3 linked regions of the Elephas maximus indicus genome follow. The protein of the gene in region 2 interacts with the protein of the main gene of each other region in a pairwise test. Links are inferred from orthologs where the notes say so. Each region holds a gene or a part of one and is shown on either strand. Other genes may lie near its edges. The genes, in order: HNF1A, PCBD1 and HNF1B.

The links.
Region 1: the proteins of PCBD1 (region 2) and HNF1A interact in binary tests that used the Homo sapiens proteins (3 or more experiments, as listed by UniProt). The link is inferred for Elephas maximus indicus from reciprocal best matches to the Homo sapiens genes PCBD1 and HNF1A.
Region 3: the proteins of PCBD1 (region 2) and HNF1B interact in binary tests that used the Homo sapiens proteins (3 or more experiments, as listed by UniProt). The link is inferred for Elephas maximus indicus from reciprocal best matches to the Homo sapiens genes PCBD1 and HNF1B.

The regions. Positions count from the first base shown.
Region 1 is NC_064840.1:18,353,548-18,361,115, reverse strand, and holds the start of HNF1A (hepatocyte nuclear factor 1-alpha), read right to left. Parts: upstream 4,811-7,568; coding exon 4,485-4,810; intron 1-4,484. UniProt on the Homo sapiens protein: Transcriptional activator that regulates the tissue specific expression of multiple genes, especially in pancreatic islet cells and in liver. Binds to the inverted palindrome 5'-GTTAATNATTAAC-3'.
Region 2 is NC_064834.1:16,847,142-16,854,709, forward strand, and holds the start of PCBD1 (pterin-4-alpha-carbinolamine dehydratase), read left to right. Parts: upstream 1-3,404; 5' UTR 3,405-3,532; coding exon 3,533-3,535; intron 3,536-4,508; exon of another isoform or gene 4,509-4,730; intron 4,731-6,848; coding exon 6,849-6,980; intron 6,981-7,539; coding exon 7,540-7,568. UniProt on the Homo sapiens protein: Involved in tetrahydrobiopterin biosynthesis. Seems to both prevent the formation of 7-pterins and accelerate the formation of quinonoid-BH2. Coactivator for HNF1A-dependent transcription.
Region 3 is NC_064837.1:31,003,318-31,010,885, forward strand, and holds the start of HNF1B (hepatocyte nuclear factor 1-beta), read left to right. Parts: upstream 1-2,198; coding exon 2,199-2,542; intron 2,543-7,228; coding exon 7,229-7,428; intron 7,429-7,568. UniProt on the Homo sapiens protein: Transcription factor that binds to the inverted palindrome 5'-GTTAATNATTAAC-3'. Binds to the FPC element in the cAMP regulatory unit of the PLAU gene. Transcriptional activity is increased by coactivator PCBD1.

The sequences.
Region 1 (7,568 bases), on a different chromosome or scaffold from region 2:
TACAAGCATGCTATTAGCCCTGTGGGTAAGTCAAGGAGCCCTAGTGGCCCAGTGGTTAAGTACTCAGCTGCTGACTGAAAGGTCAGCTATTCTAAGCCACCAGCTGCTCCACAGGAAAAAGATGTGACAGTCTGCTTCCATAAAGTTTTACAGCCTTGGACAACTAGATGGTGCCTGGCTACCACCACTGACTGCTCTGACAGGGATCACAATAGAGGGTCCTGGACAGAGCTGGAGGAAAATGTAGAACAAAATTCAAAATCACAAAAAAAGACCAGACTTACTGGTCTGACAGAGACTGGAGAAACCCCAAGCGTATGGCCCCTAGATACCCTTTTAGCTCAGTACTGCAGTCACTCCTGAGGTTCACGCTTCAGCCAAAGACTAGACAGGCCCTTAAAACAAACAATAATACACATAGCTCAACCATGCATATGAGACTAAATGGGCACACCAGCCCAGGGGCAAGGACGAGAAGGCAGGTGGGGACAGGAAAGCTGGACAAATGGAAATGGGGAACCCAAGACCAAGAAGGGGTTGGCAACCAATGTTCTAAGATAATGTGTTTATTAATTGTTTAATGAGAAACTAATTTGCTTTGTAAACCTTCATCTAAAGCACAATAAAAATTAAAAAAATATTAGACTGGACTATAAAACATAAAATAATACTCGTGAAGAATGTGCTTCTTAGCTCAAATAGATACACGAGACTAAACGGGCAACTCCTGTCCGGAGGCAGGATGAGAAGGCAGAAAGGGACAGGAGCTGGCTGGATGGACACAGGAAACCCGGGGTGGAAAGAGGGAGCATGCTGTCACATTATATGGATTGCAACTTGTGTTTCGTAATATTATGTGTACAAATTTTTGTATGAGAAATTAACTTGAGCTGTAAACTTTCACCTAAAGCACAATTAAAAAAAAAAGTGTAAATATGAAGTTGAAATAAAAGAAAAAATGTAAAAAAAATTAAAAACAAAAGATTTACAACCTTGGAAACCCTATGGGGCAGTTCTACTGTGTCCTATAGGGTCCCTCTGAGTCAGAATCAACTTAATAGTAATGGGTTTAGTTTTTGGTTTTGGTTGGGTAAGTAATGTTATCTCCACGTTGCAGAAGAAAACTGAGGTTCAGAAAGATGAAATCACCTGCCTGAGCTAGAAAGGGGCAGAACTGGGATTCGAACCCAGGCATGGCGTGGCTTCAGTCTGGGATGTAAGATCCTTAGTCCCACCTTGGCCATTGTCTTTCTGGGCCCCAGTGCCCTGGTGCTGCCCAATGAGGAGGATCAGAGTGCTTCAGGTTAGGGATTTGAGCTGGCCAGGTATAGGGAGGACCCTGGGTCCAGGTTCCTACTTTGGTCACGGCCTCAGCCTGCTGGGCCCTGGCACTGAGGCAGCATATGTGCCAGGGTTCAGAGAGTCCTAGTCTCTCATTCATTCGTGCTATGTGTCAGCCACCAGTTTCCAGTTGCTATCAAGTCGAATCTGACTCATGGTGACCCCACGTGTGCCACAGTAGACCTGTGCTCCATAGGGTTTTCATAGCTGTGGCCTTTCAGAAGCAGATTGCCAGGCCTTTCTTCTGAGGCACCTCAAGGTGGCTTCGAACCACCAACCTTTCAGTGAGTAACCAAGTGCTTAACCACTTCTACCCCCCAGGGACTCCTGTATGTCAGCCACTGGGATAGATACCAGGGTACGAGTGGTGAACAAGCACCCAACTCAGGCCCTGCCCTTGAAGAGTTTCTATTTTCATACCAAGAGATAGAAGAAAGCTAACAAATAGATAAGTAAGATAGCCAAAGGTAATGATAAGTGATAGGAGAAGGTAAATAAGAGCCGTGAAAGACAAAGTTACTAGGGGTGGGAACCACCTTTAGATGGGGTGGTCAAGGAGGACCTCCTTGAGGAGGTGATGTTTGAGCTGAAGGAGAAGGAATGGGCTGTGGGAAAGTCTGGAACCAGGGTTCCAGGCAGAAGGGACAGCATGTGCAAAGGCCCTGAGGTGGAAATCAGCTTGGTCTGTTGAGGGACAGCAAGGTCAGTTTAACTAGTGCAAAGTGAGTGAGTGAGGGAGAGAGAGAGCCTTGACGAGAACAGGGAAGTTGAGAGAGGGAAGAGACCAGGGCAGGAAGCTTGGATTTTATTCATTGGCCAGGTGGGGGGAAACTAAGGCAGAAGGTAGGGAAGAGACTTGACTAAGGTTACACATGGACTAAGACAGGTTTCTGCTGTGGCCTCAAGCATGGGGCACCCCAGGGAGGCCTGGGACCCAGTATCCAAACCTGCCTCTTCTCAGATGCCTGTCCTCTCCAGAGACACAGCTTCCCCTGGAGGTCCTGAGGCTGCACCATCTCTTCCAGCCTCAACCTCCCCCCACCACCCCAGCCCAGCCCAGGCCTTGCCTCTGTCTTCTTTCCCTGCCTGGAGGCCTGAAGCCCCACTTTTTCTCTCAGGGCGTTTTCAGATCCCTTTTGTTACCTGAACAATAAGTAACCCAGGTAGTTAGTTATAAACTCTGCAGGAACAAGGAGCTGGTTGATAATTTATAGCAACATCTCAAATTTAAATGGAAAGTAAATAGCACGCTGTTAGCATTAAAGAAAACCCAATGGGGCGGGCGGGAGGCACTCCAGCCTCCTCTCCTCTCAGCTTGGGGTGCCTCACTTTCTTCCCAGCCCCTTCTCCCTGCTGGGCCTGGGCCCCTCTCCTTGCTGGTTTCCTCTGCTCTCTGCTTCTCCAGGCTCTCTCTCCATCTCCCTGACGTCCTCTGTCTCCTTCAGCTTTGTGGAAGGCCCCAGGGCCCTCCTGGTCCCCAGGGAGCACCTTGACCTCTGCTCCCCCATCGAGAGCTGTGGATCAAGCCTCCCCCCACCATCCCACCTAAGGGGCTGCTGACCAAGAGGCCCCACCCAGCCAGGTAAGAAAGGCCCTGAGCACCCTCTGCTCCCTCACCCTAGAACCCCCAAACCCATCTGGGGCCCCCAGTAGGTCCAGCCCAGCCCCACCCTGCCCAGGTTGCCCTCACTCTGGATCTGGCGATGCCTGGCTCCTTGCCCCTCCCCTGCAGCCCTGCCGCCCTTTGCCCTCCTCTTCCTGCCAAGTCAGGGGGCCCTAGCTGCCTCCCTGCCCCCTACCCAGGCCCTCACAAGGCCTGGCAAACTGGGGCACCCTGAGGCCACGAGGAAGACCCAAGCCACCAGCCCTCCCCTACCCCAAGCTGGGATCAGGACCTTGGACAGAACAAAGGCAATCCCCTGTAGAACATTTTGGGGGGCTCACCCTAAGGCTCCCCAGCCAGCCCAGCACCCTTGGCTCCTAGTCATTGGGGTTGAGAGTACCAAACAGAGTGGGCTTGGAGGCCCAGCTGGGCCGCCTTAGTCAGGCTACTTCCCCTCACTGAGCCTCAGTTTCCCCAGCTGTGAAGCAGAGTGAGCAACAGCTTCCTCACAGGGTTAATCTCAACATTAACCAAAATTATCAATGAGAAACCTCAGCACAGGGCCTGGCGAGTCATAAACCTCAGGAAGCGGGTGGCTGCTGGGATGCAGGCTATGGAGCCTTTCCCAAAAGGAGGTCCCTGCAGCCCCCAGGCCACCCTTCCTCCACCAGAACCTCCCATCCTCCACCCCCACTGGTGGAAGGTTGGTTGGCCCAGGCCTCTCCAGGCCACCATCCCTACAAGTTAATGATCACAGGCCTTATCAGAGCCTTTTGCTGTTTATAAATTTATAAAACAAAAGAGAAATAATAAAGCCCGTGGGTAATTAGTAACCAGGTCACCTCTGCTGAGGAGAGGGGAGGCATCCAGCCTGGGACCCACCCAGTTCAGGAGATGGGGAGCCGGCAGGTGGATGGGGGTACAGACCAGGAAGTCACTAATGGCGCTTGCTGGCAAGGTGTGGGTGTGAGGGGTTGTGGCTGTGCAGGAAGGGGAGCAGCTGCTGCCCCCCAGGCTCCATCCCCCTCAGGTAAGAAAAATCTGGGCTTTCCTGGGTAAATGCTGGAGTCCCAAGATGGTTGGGGAAGCCCCCAAAACCCCCAGCCAAGGCCCCCAGCTGCGCTTCCTGGCCCCTGAGCCTACACTCTGAGGACTGGGCAGGAAAGTTAGGGTTTGAGGAGCAGAAATGGCCTTGATGGCTAGAAATTCCCACCACCCTCTTCCCACCACCTTGGACTCTCTGGGCATTTGAATTTCGGTGTCTGCGGCCTTTTGCCCCCTTGGAGCTCTCCTGGGGCATGTCCTACTTCCCGAGCTTTGGGCTGCATGGCTCCCGGGCCAGGAGACTCTACAGAGGGGCTGCCTCAGGGACCAGGGGCTCCAGCCTCCCAGCCAGGACCCGTCTGAGCTCTCACCACCAGGTCACCTTCTCGATAACTAAAGGCCACAGCTCATGGGGACTCCGGACTCTGAAGAGAGGCCAGTCAGGAGCTGGGGTGGGCTCCATCTCGGGCGCTGGGGGCAAGTAGGGGGTCCTTACTGCAGAAGGGTCTCCACCACGGCCTTCTGGTGGGCCGCCTCCTCGGGACTGAGGTTCTCCAGCTCTTTGAGGATGGGCGGCGTGAAGTCTTCCCCATCGTCGTCCGTCTCGTCCTCGGAGCCCCGCGTCTCCCCCAGCCCGTTGGGAAGCTCGGCCAGCTCCCCTCGGCCACCACCGCAGGACTCCCCCTTGTCCAGGGGCTCGTCCCCGGCCAGCAGGTAGGGCCCTGGCTCACCTAGGGCCTGGATCAGCGCCTCTTTGCTCAGGCCCGACTCGAGCAGGGCCGCCAGGAGCTCCGTCTGCAGCTGGCTCAGTTTAGCAACCATGGCTCCACCACCACTGGGCCACGCGGCCCGGGACCACCTAGCTCACGGGCTCCCCCACCACGTGGGCCGTCCACCTGCCGGCAACCCGGAGGGCCCAAGCCAGGCTCCTTGCACCCACTGCACCCCCCAAGCCCCTCTAGCCGAGCCGTGTGGGCACCCCCAGCCCCCAACCCTGGCCCCAGCGGCCAGTGAATCAGGGCCCCTGCCCGCTCTGTTTACATTGGAGCTGGGGAAATTCTCCAAGGTTCATATTTATCCGTGTGCTTAGCAAAGGGACTGAACTTTGGACTTCAGCCCTGCCGCGCGCAAAGTGCAGGCCTCACGGCAGCGCTGAGGGCCCAGGAGCCACGGCCTTCAATGGGAGTGGGCAGAGCAGAGGGTGGGGGAGGCGGAGGCGCAGGGCCCAGGACAGTTGGGACGAAGATGTTGGGACCCAGGGAGGACTTCACGCGATCATTGGGTCCACCCCGAGGGCCTCGCAGGGCATCAGGCTGAGGCAGGAGAGCAAAAAAAAAAAAACACGTTTCCTTGGGGAACAGAAGTAGCAGGGAGTTCTAAGTAGCTGAGCAGGCTCTCCTCAAGGGTAGGGCTAGATCACGCCCATTTTGGGACTTCCCTCTCCAGGCTCAACACCAGGCCCAACACCAGGCCTGCCGGTAGGAAAAACTTGTTGACTGGAGTCTGCTGTGCTTGAGCAGCTACGCTGGATCTCTAATAGGTACTGCTGCTTTATTGTACAGTCAGCCCCGCGGGTTAGGAACTTCAGACTTACATACTAAAAAAACTACCCGTGGTTAAGTTTAACGAACCAATCTCGATAAAGCCGATTATATTAAAAATTCGAGGTACATATACAATGGTTCTTAAAAAACAAACCAGTGCTACTTTGCAAACGCATCAAAACTTTATTATTATTACTGTATTATTATGTTAAACATGTTTTTGTGTATCTGAAAGTGTTTCTTTAATGTTTTTTATTCATAGAAAGGTACACTATATACCATGTACTAAAGCAAACATTTGACTAACTGATAGTAAGTAGATATGAAGCGTACCTTAGTGTTCCAACTTACATAAAATTTGACTTAAAAGACAGACTTAGGAACAGAACTCATTTGTCATCGGGGACTACCTCTATCCTCCTAACAACTGTGAGTAGTACAAGGAAAGAAGAAGAAACTCAAGTAAGCCTCAGAGAGGTTAAACAACTTACCCAAAGTCACACAGCTAGCAAGAGGCAAGACTTGCAAAGCCAGGCTAGAGAGAGGCAAGTCAGGTAATTGCCTTGGGTGCACAGGTTAAGGGAACACCAAAAAACCCAGTAGCCAAGACAAACAATATTCTAATGCAATATATCAGAAAATCAAAATGAACACAAAACCCAAGAGGATTCAAAACACATGTCTGCCCCAAAATTTGTACACAGATGTTCCCAGCACCATTATTCATAATATAGCCAAAAAGCGGAAACAACCCAAATGTCCATCAGCTAATGATAGATAAATAAAATGTGGTCGATTCATACTATGTGTATATTATTCGGCCATAAAAAGGAATGGAGTAGCAACACGTGCTGCAACATGGATGAACCCTGAAACCATTATGCTAAGTGAAAGAAGCCAGACCAAAATGTCTCATATTATGTGATTTCCACGGATATGAAATGTGCAGAACGGGCAAGTCCATAGAGACAGAAAGTAGACTAGTAGTTGCCTAGGGCTTGGGGGATAGGGGTGCTGGCTAAGGGCACAGGGTTTCTTTGGGGATGATAAAATGTTCTAAAATTGTGCACGTGACAGTTGTACATCCTCGTGAGTATAATAAAAACCACTGAATTGTACACCTGTTCTTCAATTCTGTGAATTATATATCAATAAAAGATAGTTCTTAAATTAATGCAAATTTGTTTATTGTTTATGATCTGCTAGAATATAAGCCCCTGAGGGCAGGGCTTCTGTCTGTTTTGTCCACTGCTGTATTCCCAGTGCCTAGAATGTTGTTGTCAGGTGCCCTCAAGTCGGTTCCAACTCATAGCAACCCTATGTACAACAGAACGAAACACTGCCCGGTCCTGCCCCATCCTCACAAACGTTGTTATCCTTAAGCCCCTTGTTGCAGCCACTGTGTCAATCTATCTCATTGAGGTTCTTCTTCTTTTTTACCAAGTGTGCCTAGAATAGTTTCCATTATATAGTTGGTAAGGTCCCTGGATGGTGCAAATGGTTTGCACTCATCTACCAACCTAAAGGTTTGCAGTTCAGATCCACTCCATGGCACCACGGAAGAAAGGCCTGGCGATCTGCTTCTGTAAAGGTTACAGCCAAGAAAGCCCCATGGAACAGTTCTACTCCGTAATACGTGGAGTCATCATGAGTCGGTATCGACTCAAAAGCAACAGGTTTTGGTTTTCACATAGTAGGTGCTCAATAAACAGTCGTTGAATGAATGAATGGTTAAAGTTCACTGCACATTGATCATGCATACTTAGCGTGCTAAGCTTTAATAATGTAGTCCATTTCCAGGCAACTCTATGGAGTAGGTACTGTTAATATTCCCATTCTGTGGGGGAGGAAACAGGTTCACAGGGTCAAAGACTTGCTCAGAGTCCCATGGTTCAGGGTTTTAAACCCAAGCAGGATGGCACTGGCAGCTGCCCCAGGAGAGGGTGTGATTCCACCTTTCCCGCAGCGCACCCAGTGGCCAAAACGAGTTGCTTTGGGGTTAGGCAGTTCGCTGCTGGGTACAAAATTCTCAAGTA
Region 2 (7,568 bases):
TCCAGGAGACAAAGCAGAATTGATAAGGTTTCTTTTGATTAAACACAGAAATCACATAGTGACACTTCTACCACATTTAAGTAGTTATACGGGCAGCCCAGATCCAGTATGGGAGAGAGCCACTCAGGGTGTGAATACTGGGAGTCAAGGCTCACTGGACAGCCATCTTTGAAAACAAGCTAACATAAAAAAAAAAAAAAACATACTAACTTACAAAAGGGAATCTTCATATGGTGGTCTTAAATTAGGTCCCTAGCTGGTACAAACAGTTTGCGCTCAACTGTTATCCTAAAGGTTGGTGGTTCGAACCCACCCAGCGATACCATGGAAGAAAAGTTCCAGAAATCTGATTCCGTTAAGATTAAAGTCAAGAAAACCCCATGGAGCAGTTCTCTTCAGTAACGCACGGTGCTACGAGTCAGAATAGACTCAATGGCAACCAGTGATGACAACAGGTCTTAAATTTATCTAACTGTAAAGTTAAGGGAAGAAAAGGTAGAAGAATATTTTTGTGACAGGAGTGGGAAAGGACTTATCGAATAAAGCTTCAAAAGCACAAAATCACAGGGCAGAGGAAAAAAAAGATGGATCATATTATATCACAATACAATATTTCTGGCAACGAAGGAAATCATGGAGAAGTTAGCATACAGATGGCAGGATTGAGGAGATACCTGCAGTATCTAAAACTGAGAGGCAATTAATGTCTAAATATAAACTCCCACAAATCAACTAAAAAAAGAGAGCATTCTACATTTTTTTAAATGGGCAAAGATATTAAAAAGCAATTTACAAACAGTAACCCTCAATACTAACAAGCTTATGAAGAGGTGCTCAAAATCATTCGTAATCAGAAAGGTGCAAAGTAAAACAGCGAGCTATCATTTTATACCTATTAGCCTGGCAAAAATTAAAATGCTGGATAATACCAAGTGTGAGTATGTTTGCATGAGGAACGTAGGGAAATAGGAACCCTCACACACTGCAGGTGAGAAGAAGGACTGGTACAGCCATCTGGACAGCATATGAAACTATTCTGGGATATATGTACCCATAAGAGGAACTGCTGGATTTATAGAGATGTATATATATCTAAGTCGTCTAAGAAACACTCTCACAGGCCAGGTAGCTATTAAAGGAGGATGTCCACTGCAGCATCATTTCTTGGTTGTTTTACTTAGTATGTGTGTGTGCATGTATTCAAGGCCTTGGGTAGTAGCAGTGATAATGGCAGACCGTTGGGGGCCAAGCTGAGTGTCCATCACTGGTAGAATAATACACAATGGTGGATTCTCACTATGGAATACTAAGCACCAGTTAGAAGCCACAGATTAAGTACACATAGAGCAGCATGAATGAATCTTAATTTTCCACTAAGCATTCTGTTTTGTAATGAACAGATTGATATATGTAATGCAATACCATTTACATAAATTGAAAATACATACAGATGAAACAATATGCATTTTGCAAGGATATGTACAACAAAAACACACATTAACACATAAGAAAGGTTGCTACTGGGGGCAGAGGAATAACAGTACAAGGATAAAAAGCTAATAGAAAAAAAAGTTAAATATTAGAGGATTTATATTACCCAACTTCAAGACATAATAAAGCAACAGTAATCAGACAGTGTGGTATTGACGTCAAGATAGACAAATAGATCAATGAAACAGAATAGACAGCCCAGAAATAAACTCACATATAAAGGGTTAACTGACTTTTTTACAAAGGTACAAAGGCAACTCAGTGGAGAAACAATTGGATATTGATATACAAAAAGTGAATTTGGGTCCTTAACTCCCAGCATATAAAAAAATTAACTCAAAATGGATCATACACCTAAATGTAAAACTGAAAACTATAAAACTTCTAGAAGAAAACATAGGAGAAATGTGACCTTAGGTTAGGCAAAGATTTTTTAGCAACACCACCAAAATAGCAATTCACAAAAGAAACATTTGACAAATTGAAGTTTATCCGATAAAATTAAGAACTTTTGCTCTTTGAAAGACACTGTAAGAAAATGCAAACAAAATATTTGCAAACCATATATCTGATGAAGTTCTCGTATCCCAAATAAAATACTCTCAAAATTCAAAAAGGAAACAATCCAGGTTTTTGTTTTTTTTTTTAATGGGCGGGAAATTTGAACAGGCAATTCACCAAAGATTTACCTATGGCAAATAAGCACAGGAAAAGATGTTCAATATCATTAGTCCTTAAGGAAACTCAAAACCACTAGACACTAATTAGAGTGGCTAAAATGAAAGGAACAGACCATAGGAAGTGTTGACAAGGATGTGGAGGAACTGGAACTCTCCTATGCTGCTGCTGAGAATGTAAAATGATAGAACCACCTTGGAAAATAGCTTGGCAGTTTCCTAAAAAATTACAAACAGACCTAGTCACAATTCCACTCCTAGATATTTAGCCAAGAGAAATGAAAGCATATACCCATACAATGACTTGTACACAAATGGTCAGAGCAGCTTGACTTGTAATAGCCCCAAACTGGAAACAATCCAAATGTCCATCAACAGATGAATGGATAAACAAATTGTAGCATATCCATAGCATGTAATACTATAAAATAATTTTTAAAAATTATTTACAATAAAAAGGAACTATTGACACATGCTGGCTTTCTGAATGGTGCAAATAGCTTGCACTTGACTACTAACTGTTGGAATCCACCCAGCGTTGCCCAGGAAGCCCTAAGATTACAGCCACTGAAAACCCTATGGAGCACACGGGGTTTCCACGAGTCGACTTGACCGTAATAGGGTACTGAAAGATGCAACAACATGGACGAGCCTCAAAACAATTATGCTGAGTGAAAGAAGTCGGACCAAAAGAGAGAGAGAGAGATTATATACTGTATGATTCCATTCACGTAAAATTATAGAATATAGAAAATACAAATTAATCTACAATGACGGAAAGTAGATCAGTCGATGCAGGTGCGGGAAGAAAGGGCCTACAAAGCGGCAGGAGGAACTTTTAGGGATGATGGATATGTTCATAGTTTGATTGTGCTGATGGCTTGACGGTGGCATACATACCTCAAAACTTCTCAAATTGTGCCCTTTGAATATGCGCAGTTTAACGTATGTCACTTACACCTCAAAGTGCTTGTAAAACGGAAAAGGCGAGGTCATCCTGTGTCTAGGATCACGCAGCTGCTAAGCGGCAGAGCACGGTTCAGACGCAGAAGTCTGCGTTTGAAGCCCGGGTTACCACTCCCCAAACTCCTTGGAGCAACCGCACCGACGGCGGCGCTAAGAGGAAAGGCAGGCGCTGCAGGGACGCCGAGCCCCGGCGGGTGCGCCGCTGTGAGCGTTAATCATTACCTGGGTCGGCCGCTCCGGCGCGAACGGAAAGGCGGGCCGCGGGCTCCACCCCGGTCGGGGGCGGGCCGGGGACGGCCCGAGCGGGTTCCGCCCGGCCGCTCGCCTAGTGCGCCTGGCCGCGGCGCTCGCCTCTCGGCCGGCCGCCTGCTGCCTGCCCGCGTCCAGCGCGCTCCGACATGGTGAGGGAGGGCAGGGCGGGCCGCGGGAGGCCGGCCGCCGGGGCTCGGAGGAGAGGAGGGGGGCAGCCGGTCCTGGCCCAGGCCCGCCGCGAGGCCGGGAGCCGAGGGGCCCCGGGAGCGGAGGGGCCCCGGCAGCCGAGGGGCCCCGGGAGCGGCCGGACCCGCCGCTCTCCGCGCTGCGAGGGTCGGCATTTCCGGGTCTCGGAGCGGCCGCCTGGAGTTCACGCCCCGCTCCCAGCTCCTGGGGGTGCACGAGGGGAAGCTGAGGCTCCCAGAGGGGCGGTGCAGGGCCGGGTAACCGCGAGCGGGAGCCCAGGCCTGGCTCTGACTTCCAGGCCAGGGCTCGCTCCGCGCCGCGGTGCTGGGGCGGGGCTGTGGGAGCAGGGAACGGGTGAGGCGAGGCGTCCTAGGGAGCCAGCAGTTGTCGTCCCCGTTAGTGGCACGTTTCTGTTCTCTTCTGGGGGGAGACTGAATTTGTGTGTGCTTGTGCGTGCGTGTGTACTGCCCCTTCTCGATTGCGCTTCTGACCTCACCTGGGTACAGCGTCTGTCTGGGACCAAGGCCCATCAGTGGAGGCATGATGGCCCAGGACCATTTAGTCCGGGCTGAGCTGTCCGCCAGGAGGGTCTGGGCCCTTGACTCAGCGTCAGCACTCCCACCCTCAGCCAGGGAGGTGACGGTGAGCCTGTGGGGGCATCAAGGAAGCTTTACTAGACACAGCCTATTTCGGCCCCAACACATTCGGGGCAGTGAGGACTGCGGTGACAACAGGGAGGGCCTTTTGAAAACTGTGGCTTGGGGGTGGGTTTGGGGGGCAGTGAGTAAGGCTGTTGTGAACTGCAGGAGGCCCCAGACACAGGGGGCGGGTAATCAGTATCCCTCTGCACACCCGCTTAGGCTGGAGGCAGAGTTCAGGCCTGACGGTGAATTTACTAATCAAACATGGCCCCTTCCCCCTCCCTGATCCCACAGGCTGTGGGCTTTGGGGGGTTCCAGAAGACTCTGAGGAGAGAGGGCGTTCTCCCAGGAACTCATCAGTCCCACCCACCCCTCTCAGAGCCAAAGGAGTGAACAGTGGATTTGGGTGCCTGGGCTGACTTCCGGCCATCTGGTTGCCTGGATACATGGACCAGGCTTATTAGCACTGAGAAGGGCAAGCTCCGGAATAGAGAGAAGGTTGCGTGGATGACGCCGAGTAAGCACTGCCATCTCGGTAACCACTGAAGAGGAGGAGAGGGGCCAGATCAGATCAGTTTGGCGAGGGAGGGGGGACACCAGTCTTCAGGAGAGAGGAAAAGATTGATCTATCAGTGCCTGGCAGTGCCCCTCCAGGCCTACCCAAACCCTGCCAGGCCCATTGCCAGCCCACTTAACCCAAGAAGTCTTTAGGAAATGCAGTAACAGTGCACTTTATCAAATTGTCCTGTTAACTCCTCGTGCTGATCTGTGAAGTGGAAGTTTTTGTCCGTATTTTCCGCACGAGTCCAAGAGAGGTGAAGTGCCACATGGCCGACAAATGGCAGAACTGGGGCTTGAACCTCTCCTGCCAGTTCAGCCCAGGGCTGTCAGGCTGAGGGTTGCAGACCACTTAACACCCCTCACATTCTCTCTCCAGACTTAGTGATTTTTTTCAGTTTAGTACTTTATCAGTTTCTGCCCTTGGGTGATTCTCTCTCTGGATTCTACATTCTGGGATCCCTTAAGCTCCTAGACCTAGACAGTAGAACTGACCTTTGCTTCATTTATTCTCTGAGGGGTCAACTCCTGGCCTGAATGGTGCCAGTCTGAGCCACCTGAGGGCACTTTGCACAATAGGTACATATGACAGGACCTGGGGTTCCAGGGCCATCTGTGATGGTGCCCATAGCCTCACGTCACCCCTCAGCATCCCATTACCCACCTGCCATACCCCACGCTCCAGGACCCAGGCCTGCAGTCAGCAACCAGCTGCTCCAGACTGTGTCCCATGCCTAAGGCTCTTCCCCCTCTGAGTAGCATGGCTCACCACCCCGTCAGTGTAGAGGGCAACTTCTTATCTTGGCTGAGCTTAAGAACTCCTTCCTCTAGGAAGCTGGTCCTGGTTTTCCTCTGGCCTCCCCACAGCATAATTGAACACTGCCTCCTTGAAGTCCCCACAGTCTTGCAGACAGACACTGGGGAGCCAGGCTGTGTGGGTAGGGGTTTATCTTGGCCTTTGGCCAAATGACTTCCATTTCGGGTCTGAACTCTGTGGCCCGGGCTTCAGAAGCTGCCAGAATAAAAAAAAAAGAAAAAACCCGTTGCCCTCAAGTTGATTCCGACTCATAGCAACCCTGTAGGACAGAGAAGAACTGCCCCATAGAGTTTCCAAGGAGCTCCTGGTGGATTCAAACTGCTGACCTTTTGGTTAGCAACTATAGCACTTAACCGCTACACCACCAGGTTATTCCCAGAATAGAAAAAAAATAAAAAAAAGAAGATGGAAAATCTGAGAAACTGAAGCCCAGCAGCTTCGGACTAGAAGCTGCGAGGTGAGAGTGACAGAGAACCTACTAGATATAGTGCCAGTGGTTGTCAACTGCAGTGTGCTAAGAATCACCTGGGAAACTTGTTTGAAATGGCAGTTCCTTCACCAGGCCCCCAGGAATGCCAATTCAGTGGTCAGGAGCAGGACCTAGGAATCTGCATATTTCTGCTGCAAGTGGTCCACAGACCACCCTGAGAACACTGCCTGCGCTGTCACTGACTAGGGGTAGGGGTGGAGGGAACAGCAGACAAGCCATTTCCCCTCCCTAGGCCTCAGTTTCCTTTTCAATATACCTAACAATGAGTAATAGCCGGGCCATGGGGGTGAACTAGAAAAGAAAGATAATAGAAAGGAAAGCTGGAGAGTTGGGGGTACTCTTTTCCTAAAAGATTGTATTGTAATAAATACACTTGCATCTGGGTTTGGTGTTGCTTTTACTTTCTTATTAATGTAACCTTAGTTTGGGAGGCGGAGGGGCCCCCCTCTAAGACTTTTGTGGGGTTGGGAGGAGTGTTTCTGGGTCAGATAGCTTCCCAGTGATTTGCATTATACTCATGGATTTTCCCTCTCTGGGTGGAGTGTAAAACCCCAAACCTAAGAACCTATCAGTGAATGAGGAAGGACCCCACCTCCTGGGCAGGGCCCACCCTCTAGACCTCCCCATCTATTGCTTAAAGATTAGCTGTTCTTTGACCTTTCACCCAGCATCCAGAGCAGCCAGGGGAGGCAACATTCCCCAAATGGTCTGAGCCTTCTCATTTGACCTGTAAAAATAAATGCCCTTTGGCCTGTTTTTTCCTCTCCCAGGCTGGCAAAGCACACAGGCTAAGCGCCGAGGAGAGGGACCAGCTGCTGCCAAACCTGAGGGCTGTGGGGTGGAATGAGGTGGAAGGCCGCGATGCCATCTTCAAGCAGTTCCATTTCAAAGACTTCAATAGGGTATGGGGCCAGGGTGGGACAGAATTTTGACACTAGGGCTGATGGGGTCATGCTCCAGAACTTGTTCTCTTCCTTAATGTCATGGTAGCATGACTATCAGATACGACTCTAACCTAGTTTATTTGGGCCCTGTGCCAGTGAGGAAATGAACTTCCCTAACTTACTTGGAAAGTGTCATCTTTGGGGGTTGGAGAGTGGGGAGATGGGTCTTGGGCTTTCCCTACCTGGAACTCTTAGGAAAGAGCCTCAGAGATTCTAGGGCCCTGCCTGGAAGCAGGGATGTAGGTCTGAGGACATGTTCGTAGATGGCCAGAGATTCACCAAGAACCAACCTCTTCTGGCATGTCCAACCTTGTTAGTGGTCCTGGTAACATGACTTTCTTCCTGCTGCAGAAAGACAACCTTAAACTCAAGCCTCAGAACAGTGACAGGATGCCAGGGGGAGGTGATGACAGCTCCAGGGGTCTCCCTGTAACAGGCTAGTCTGTCCTCCTGCACCAAGGCCTTAAGCTGCTCCTCTCTCTCAGAACACTAATCTAGGTCTCTCTTCATTCAATAGGCTTTTGGGTTCATGACAAGGGTGGCCCT
Region 3 (7,568 bases), on a different chromosome or scaffold from region 2:
TCAAAAACAATAAAGTGAAATGAAGGGCCCTCGTTTGCACGAACTTATTATCTCTTTCTCAGGGGAAGAAAGACAGAGTGGTGTTAACCTTTCCTAGGTCTCCATGCATACAACCACCACAATTCTTTGAGGTTCTCAGCTGGCAGGTGGCCCAGGCACCAGTAGCAGGCCCAGTATTTAAAAGAGGCAGCCTAACTCCTCAGCAGCTAGGCTGGAACCAATCACATCTGGGGTTTCAGCATTCATACACCTGGAAGATTTGTTCCTAAACTCAGCAAATGAGAGTGCAGGCCCTTCCGCCTCTAGCCAGAAATCCCTTTCTACCCCCAGCCCGACCTCAGCTTCCTCCTAATTATCTTTTGAAAGTAGGAGAAGTCGGAGAACTTGCTTAGAAATTCCTTTGCAAATTCCCAGCTGATTCTGAATTTGTGTCCCTAGCCTCTCAGTTCCTTCAACCCGAGTGCTACTACCAGCTTTTAAAGGCTGGATCTCCTTGACTCCGAGAACACTAAGTTTGGTGGGGGTGGAAGGGTAGAGGGGGCGGTGGCTAGATTTTACTACTGGGGTTTCTGCCCTCCCAGACTGGAAAGTGTGAACACTACCATGAGACCACAGGTTTCACGCGTGGTCTCATTCAACATGTATACAACCTCCCTGCACTAGAGGTATCTGTAGCATCCCCGTTTCACAGATGATGAAACTGAGGCTCAGACAGGCAAAGGAGTAGTCCTCTGTCCTAGGACGTAGGGATCTGTGAGAGATGTATCCCAATAAGACCCTTCCCCTGTTCTTCTGCGGGTCAGGTCCCAGCCTGTAGACTTGGGTGCGCCTCACTCAGCCTTCCGTTCCCTTCCGCGGGGAGGGGAGATGCGGGCGAAAGTTCGCTGGTGCTGAAAAACCCACACCAAGCCCGAGGTGGGGGGGAAAAAAAAAACTTTCGCTTAGCGAATTTGCCTGCGTCTGCCCAACTTGGGTGTTCACGACTCCAGCCTCGTGTGACTTCGCGTCTGCAAAGCGCGTCCTCCGCCCCGAACCGCGTGTGTCCAGGAGCTGCGAACAAACCAGAAATCAGTCGGCTCCATCCATCCAGCGGCGGGCCGAGCTTTGCTTTCACTGCTAGAAGGGAGGCCCGATAATCCCAGTTTTGCTCCCAAAGCGGAGGCGCTTTGATATCCCTTGTTTAGACAGGAGAGCGCTGCCCAAGCGTCCACCTCCCCCGCGGCTTGGCCAGGCTGGGCGATGGTGCAGCCCCGCTGCTGGGGAGCTCAACTTTGGCTACTCCCTCTGACCATAAATTAGTTGGCGCCTCCTTCAAGGGTCCTCCCGACCCTTTCCCCTCATCTACGCTCTTGGTGCCGGAAGTTCTGCAAATCCAAACCGCCCAACCCGGCAGGTGAGGGCCTCGGGCCTGAGCAGCGGTAACCGAAGTAGAAATAAATGGGGTCCCTCCAATCTACCATTTATTCACCCCGCTCAACATCACCCCACTTCCTCCAACTCTCTGCGCCCCTCCTCAAGCTGTCAGTTTCTCCTCCGCCCGGCTGTTCTCCTGGCCCACCGCCTGCGTCGGCTGGAACGCCTTAAAGAGTCTCTCTACTCTTCACCTCCTCCCTCACCCCCTTATTTCAAGAGCACCTCAACTTCCTCTAGTTCTCACCTGAACCCCCGGAGCGCAGTTTCTTCATCTCTCGGGACTAAGGCCGAATCTGCAGCCGGTGGAAAAGCCCTGGCGCCTTCCACACTAGGCTGCAAGCTACTTGCTTAACAAGTCCAAAGGTCAGCTAAACTTTGGCTGATAAACAGAATCAGGAGAAGAAGAGCTTTAGCCCCCCAGCGTGATTACAATGGATCCTGGCAAGCCCCGCTCGGCCCGGGGCCTCGGCTCCCAGTGTCTGCCCCTCGTGCTCTCCCTCTCTCTCGGTTTTCCCCCCTCCCCACCACCATTTGCATCTTGCCGAAAGCCGGGCCCTTCCCACTAATTTGCATATCTTATATGGCCTAATGGTGGCGATCATGGCAAGGTAGAAGTTTTCTGACTCCTCTGGAGGAGACTCCGGGCCCCGGAGAGTAACAGGTGTCTGGAGGCTGAAGGGTGGGGGGGCTCCCGGACTTGGGGTTCGCTGGTGAAACTCCCCCTCCACCCTCCTCTCTCGCACCCACCCACCCCCTCACCCCCTTTTTACCCCCGTCCTTGGAAAATGGTGTCCAAGCTCACGTCGCTCCAGCAAGAACTCCTGAGCGCCCTGCTGAGCTCCGGGGTCACCAAGGAGGTGCTGGTCCAGGCCTTGGAAGAGTTGCTGCCATCCCCGAGTTTTGGGGTGAAGCTGGAGACGCTGCCCTTGTCCCCCGGGAGCGGGGCCGAGCCAGACACCAAGCCGGTCTTCCACACTCTCACCAACGGCCACGCCAAGGGCCGCCTGTCTGGGGACGAGGGCTCTGAGGACGGGGACGACTATGACACCCCTCCCATCCTCAAGGAGCTACAGGCGCTCAACACCGAGGAGGCGGCGGAGCAGCGGGCCGAGGTGGACCGGATGCTCAGGTAGGCACCGAGCGAGGCTAGAGGTGTGCGCCTGAGACCTCTGCACCTTGGGCCCTGTGCCTGAGCGACACAGCGCTCAACCACTTTCGCCAGCCTGTTTCCCACCAGAAAAGTCCCCCGGGGGGCGCTCCGCTTCTCTCCCAACACCCGGACCCCTCCCAGTTTCTCAACCAAACGACTCCGGGACCCCGAGGCTTTCTCTCCCCAAACCTAGGCCCAGCGCCGGGACCCGAGGGATCCTCCAGGCTGGCTGGGGTTTGGCCGGGAGAACCGGCCGCTGCGAAGCCCTTTGCCTAGAGGTTTGCCCACGAGACTGGAGGTGCGGATGGGTGCCAAGACAGCAGTGTTTTCCCCAGTCCCAGATGCTCGGGCCTGCTACAAGCCCCAGGCCACTCATTTATCCTGGTTGCCACCTCTTGGGTCCGGGAAAAAGAAGGCCAGCCTCGGGCGCAGCGTTCTTTCGTTTCTTGCTGGGGGATTGGCGGCACTCAGGGCCAGGATCTCAGAGGCGGTTCTCTGGTGGGCACCCGCGCTAGCTGCGCGGGTGCAAGGTCCCTGGATTATCCCAAAGCCGGTTTACATTTGCAAAGGGGAATGCTTGATGTAGGATGATTGGGCCCACGCGGGGCAAAAGAAAGCACGCATTTAAGCCAACGTGGGGCAATTGCGGCCAAGAGCCCGGGTCTCAGCGAGTTTGGTCTCAACCTGAGAAAGGAGGGCACTTGGCGATCTCGCCGCCGACACTCTGGCGTTCCCCGGGGAATTCAGGCAGGCTGGCCGCCTATCTCAGTTCCAGGATCGTTTGCTGGACCTCCCCAGACGGTCCAGGGCTTTGACAGCTAGTTACTAATTATCCAAGGAGCAAAGCGGTTCCCTTAGACCACACGTCGCTCCCGGCCACTCGGCTTTAGGACCGAGCCGCTCGCGTGGCCTCGGACGCTCCAGCGCCTCGGTCTCGAGGCAACCGCCAAGACCCAAGTCGCTCCCGGGGCGCTGGCGGCCTCAGCCGCACGCCCGCGGCTGCAATTTGGGGTGGGGTATGACCTTGCATTTGAATTTGCGCTCCGGGGGCCCTACGGCTTGCCCTTCAGTCGGTGCATGGTGGGGGGGGGGGGGGAGACTTTATTTATTTTTTGAAGTATTTTGCTGCAATTCGTTTTGAGATTTTTTTTCTTCGCCTTTCCCCGGCGTGGTGGCGATTTCTCCCTGGCGGGCGTTAGGGCGCAGGAAAAGTGTGAGTCCCGGAGGTTGAGAGGGATCGGAAGACGAGTCCCTTGGAGCGTCTGAGGCACCAGCGCAGCCTGAAGGCTGACCCGGGCCTGGCCGACTACCCGAGCTCCCGTTGCCTTCCATCGGGGGCCAGCGGGCCTAGACCCTTTCGCTAGCCACAGGCGCCTGCTTTTTTGGCCCGGTGCTCGGAGGATCCGGGAAGCCCGATGGGACCTAGGGCGCCCCTCTACACCCAGCCCCGCGCCGGGCTGGTAGCAGCAGAGATGTAACATAAACTACAGCACGTGGAGTTGGGGTGTTATTAATTTATTTCTATAAATCATCAACAGAAAGATACACAAAGAGCAGTGATTAGGTTGAAAAGAGCAGCGGGTTATTCATTGGTGAAGTTGTAAACTAGGCTTAGAGGGGGAAGGAAATCCAAACTCGGACGCGGGGCTGCTAGCCGCTCCCAGCGCACACGCATAGTGCGCGGGGCGCGCCAGCCAGGCCCAGGTGCCGCCCGCCGTCTGACCCGGGCTGTCCGAGCGCCGGAGCCGCCAGCGGAGTCCGAGGGCCGCCAGAGAGAGCCAGGTCCGGCGGGGAGGACCCGGGACCTCAGCCCTGTTCCCTGTGCAAAGCCCCTCAGCTCCAGCAGGGCGGAGGGGGAGGGTGGGGACGCAGGACAGACTCCGAGGCTTTTCTTCCTTTTCCAAACGGGTGCGCCTCCCCTCCCCCACCCCCCCCCCCGGGAGTGGTCCGACTTTATTAAAGTAATTTTTCAAGAAAGTGTTAGCGGTTCCCAGGTCACTGCACAGTCGGCTCCCAAGCGCCAGCACACGCAGTCTCTTTTTTGTCCACCTTGTTCCCCTAAAGCAAAAAGAAAAGAAAAGGGAAAGCCACTTTTTTGGAGCGCCTGGACGTTCTTTATACCTCCTAGAAGATAAAGAAAAGAAAGCCGGGGAGTGCACGCTTCCCGGTTACCAACTCCCGGCCTTGCTCGCCGGCTTCTAGGGCTCGGGCGTGTTGGCGTTTGGAAAGTTAGCTGCTTTCAGAGAAGCCGGAGTTGAGCCTTCTTAACGAACGCGCGGCGAATTGCGGTAGGGTCGAGGGCTTTTCTGCTCGTGGACAGCCAAGTTATTGTTTGAAAAGGACCTTGCTGGGCGGACAATGCGGGCGCCGAGGTCGGGCGATTGACACCTGCGCTCTGAACACAATGGCCGCGCGCGCCTCTGGAGATCCGTGTATTTGTCCTGGTTGGAAACCCATGAAAATTGCTGTATTTTCAAATTAAAAAAAAAAAAAAAAGACTGCCAGTTCTCCGAGCTCTTCTCCGTGAATACATGTGAATTCTGGGGCCAGATAGCTTAAAGGTTTTACTATAGTTTATAGGATTTTCCTGAGATTTTTTTGTTTTTGTTTTTGTTTTGTTTTTAACCTTCCCAATTGTTGAGCTAATTTAGCACTCTTTCCACAAAACTCTTCTCACTTAAAACATTACACTATTTCATTAGGTTTCCTGAACACACAAAATTAACACAGGTAAAGAAATTTAAAACAAAACAAAAATAGCCAAGAAATCTGTTAAAGCAATAATAATAATAAAAAAAGCAATATTAACTTTTAAAATCCAGACACTTCTTCTCCCTTTTGAAGCGACTGTTCGAATTTGTTCGAAGTGTTTTTCCACCCTAGAAATACCCGTGGAAAAATTCTCCACGAGTTAGTTTTAAAATGATCTCTGATATTTAAATTGATATGTCCAAAATGCTTATTACATAATTTTTCTCTTATTCAAGGTCACTTTCCAAGCTTGAAACCGTAACACATTTTCTCATTTTGTTGTTTTTGTTGTTACTTCATTATTATATATTATGTGTCAGTACCTTTGTGAATACTTAAGAAATTCCTTATTAATTTACATATAATTAATACTAAAAGTTTGCGTTCCTCAAAAACTGTTAATCAAAGCTCGCGTTCTCCTGAATTTAATATCAAAGGCTTGCTTCAATAATCACAACTACTCAAATGCTTACAAAATATCTCGGTCTAGTTAATGGGCTTTTTTATTTATTCATTAGGCAAAGTTAATTTTATTTGACAAAGTATAGATAGCATGTAGAAATAAATTGGTTATTACATTGCAACACAGTATCTGTTTTGGCTTCTGCCTTACACCATTTTTTATTGCTTCACCCGAAATTAGTGCTTCCCTTTATTTTTCTGCTGTCTGTCAGGCTAATATACACATCAGCATACACTAGAGGGATGTTGGCTTCTGTAAATTAAATATGTAGCTGCATTAAATAGTGCATGTGGATGTATTGCTTCTTTAATATTTTGTTTGTACGGTGCATTATTGTCTTAATTTCTTGTTTTAAATAATATCTTATTTTTAAGTCTCCCATTCAATAAGCAAAAAAAAAAAAAAAGATATTGGCAAAGTTGAAAAACAGTTTAGATAAATAAAATCCAAACTTTTTTCTAAGCGAGGCACCAATACATTGCTCTTAAAAAGCTTTTTGCACACCTGGGTTTTTGAGAAATGAAAAATGTAACTATGTTCCTGCCCCAAGCTTGCAACTTATGAGAAACATTGATTTCCAGATACCCTTACCCTATATCAGAATAGACAGACTAGAAATGTAAGAATACAGAAAAGCAAGGTATATGGGATTGTTAATATCTTCTCTAGAAATTAAGGTTACTTGCACCATTGGGTTTTATTTGGGAGATAGGGCTGTGAATAATATTAGGGAAAAAAAAAACAACTTCATTTGCCTAACCGCATGGTATGATTGATTCCTCAGTTCCAGAGAGGAAGGTCTTGTATTTCTTAGAACTTTTCTACAACTCTGAAAGTTATTTAATATTTGACTAAGAAATCCTTTTTACTTCTGAGGAGGTAAACACATGTTTTACCCCCATTTTATTGATAAGAAACCGAGGCACCCATTCAGAAGAAAAATAAGGTGATAGAGGTCTAGTCTGAAATTTTAAAAAATTAAATTAAAATTTTAAAAAATTAGGTGAACTTAAAAACTGATGCTACCAAGCCCCCAAACCCCCTGCCCATGTCATTGCATGATCAGCCCAGCCCCAAGCTAATGGCATCCCCACTTTCCAATGGGCCTCTTGCCTTTAAATTTCTCACATTCTGGGAAAATGAAGGAAAGAAAAATAAAACAACAAGAGAGCAGGTGCTGGCAGTGCCCTCCCACTCCTGAAGATGGGAAGTCATCTTTATCTTTTCCTTCCTAACCTCAGAAGAAAGGGATAGAGTACAGAGGCCTTTACCTCCTTTTCTATTTAGGTTCCATTTTGGCCTCATACCCCTCCCAAGGATGTAACTAGGACAAGTGGAGAAATGGGTGAAGATTAGAGTTTTGCACAGACTTTAGGTAAAACCCCTAGAAAGAAAATATTTCCCTCTGGACATTGCCCACCAGCATCCTAACCATACGCTTGTCTGTCTAGCGAGGACCCTTGGAGGGCTGCCAAAATGATCAAGGGCTACATGCAGCAACACAACATCCCCCAGAGGGAGGTGGTCGATGTCACGGGCCTGAACCAGTCGCACCTCTCCCAGCATCTCAATAAGGGCACCCCTATGAAGACCCAGAAGCGCGCTGCACTGTACACCTGGTACGTCAGAAAGCAGCGGGAGATCCTCAGACGTAAGTGTTTTAATCCTGCCTCTGCCTCAACCTGGAGTGACCTTTGGCCTAATTCTGATCCCTGTGGGCTGCTTCAGTTTCCCCTTCATCGGGAAGGCCTACTGCTTGAGCACTTGATGAATACAAGAAAGCTGGCAGGT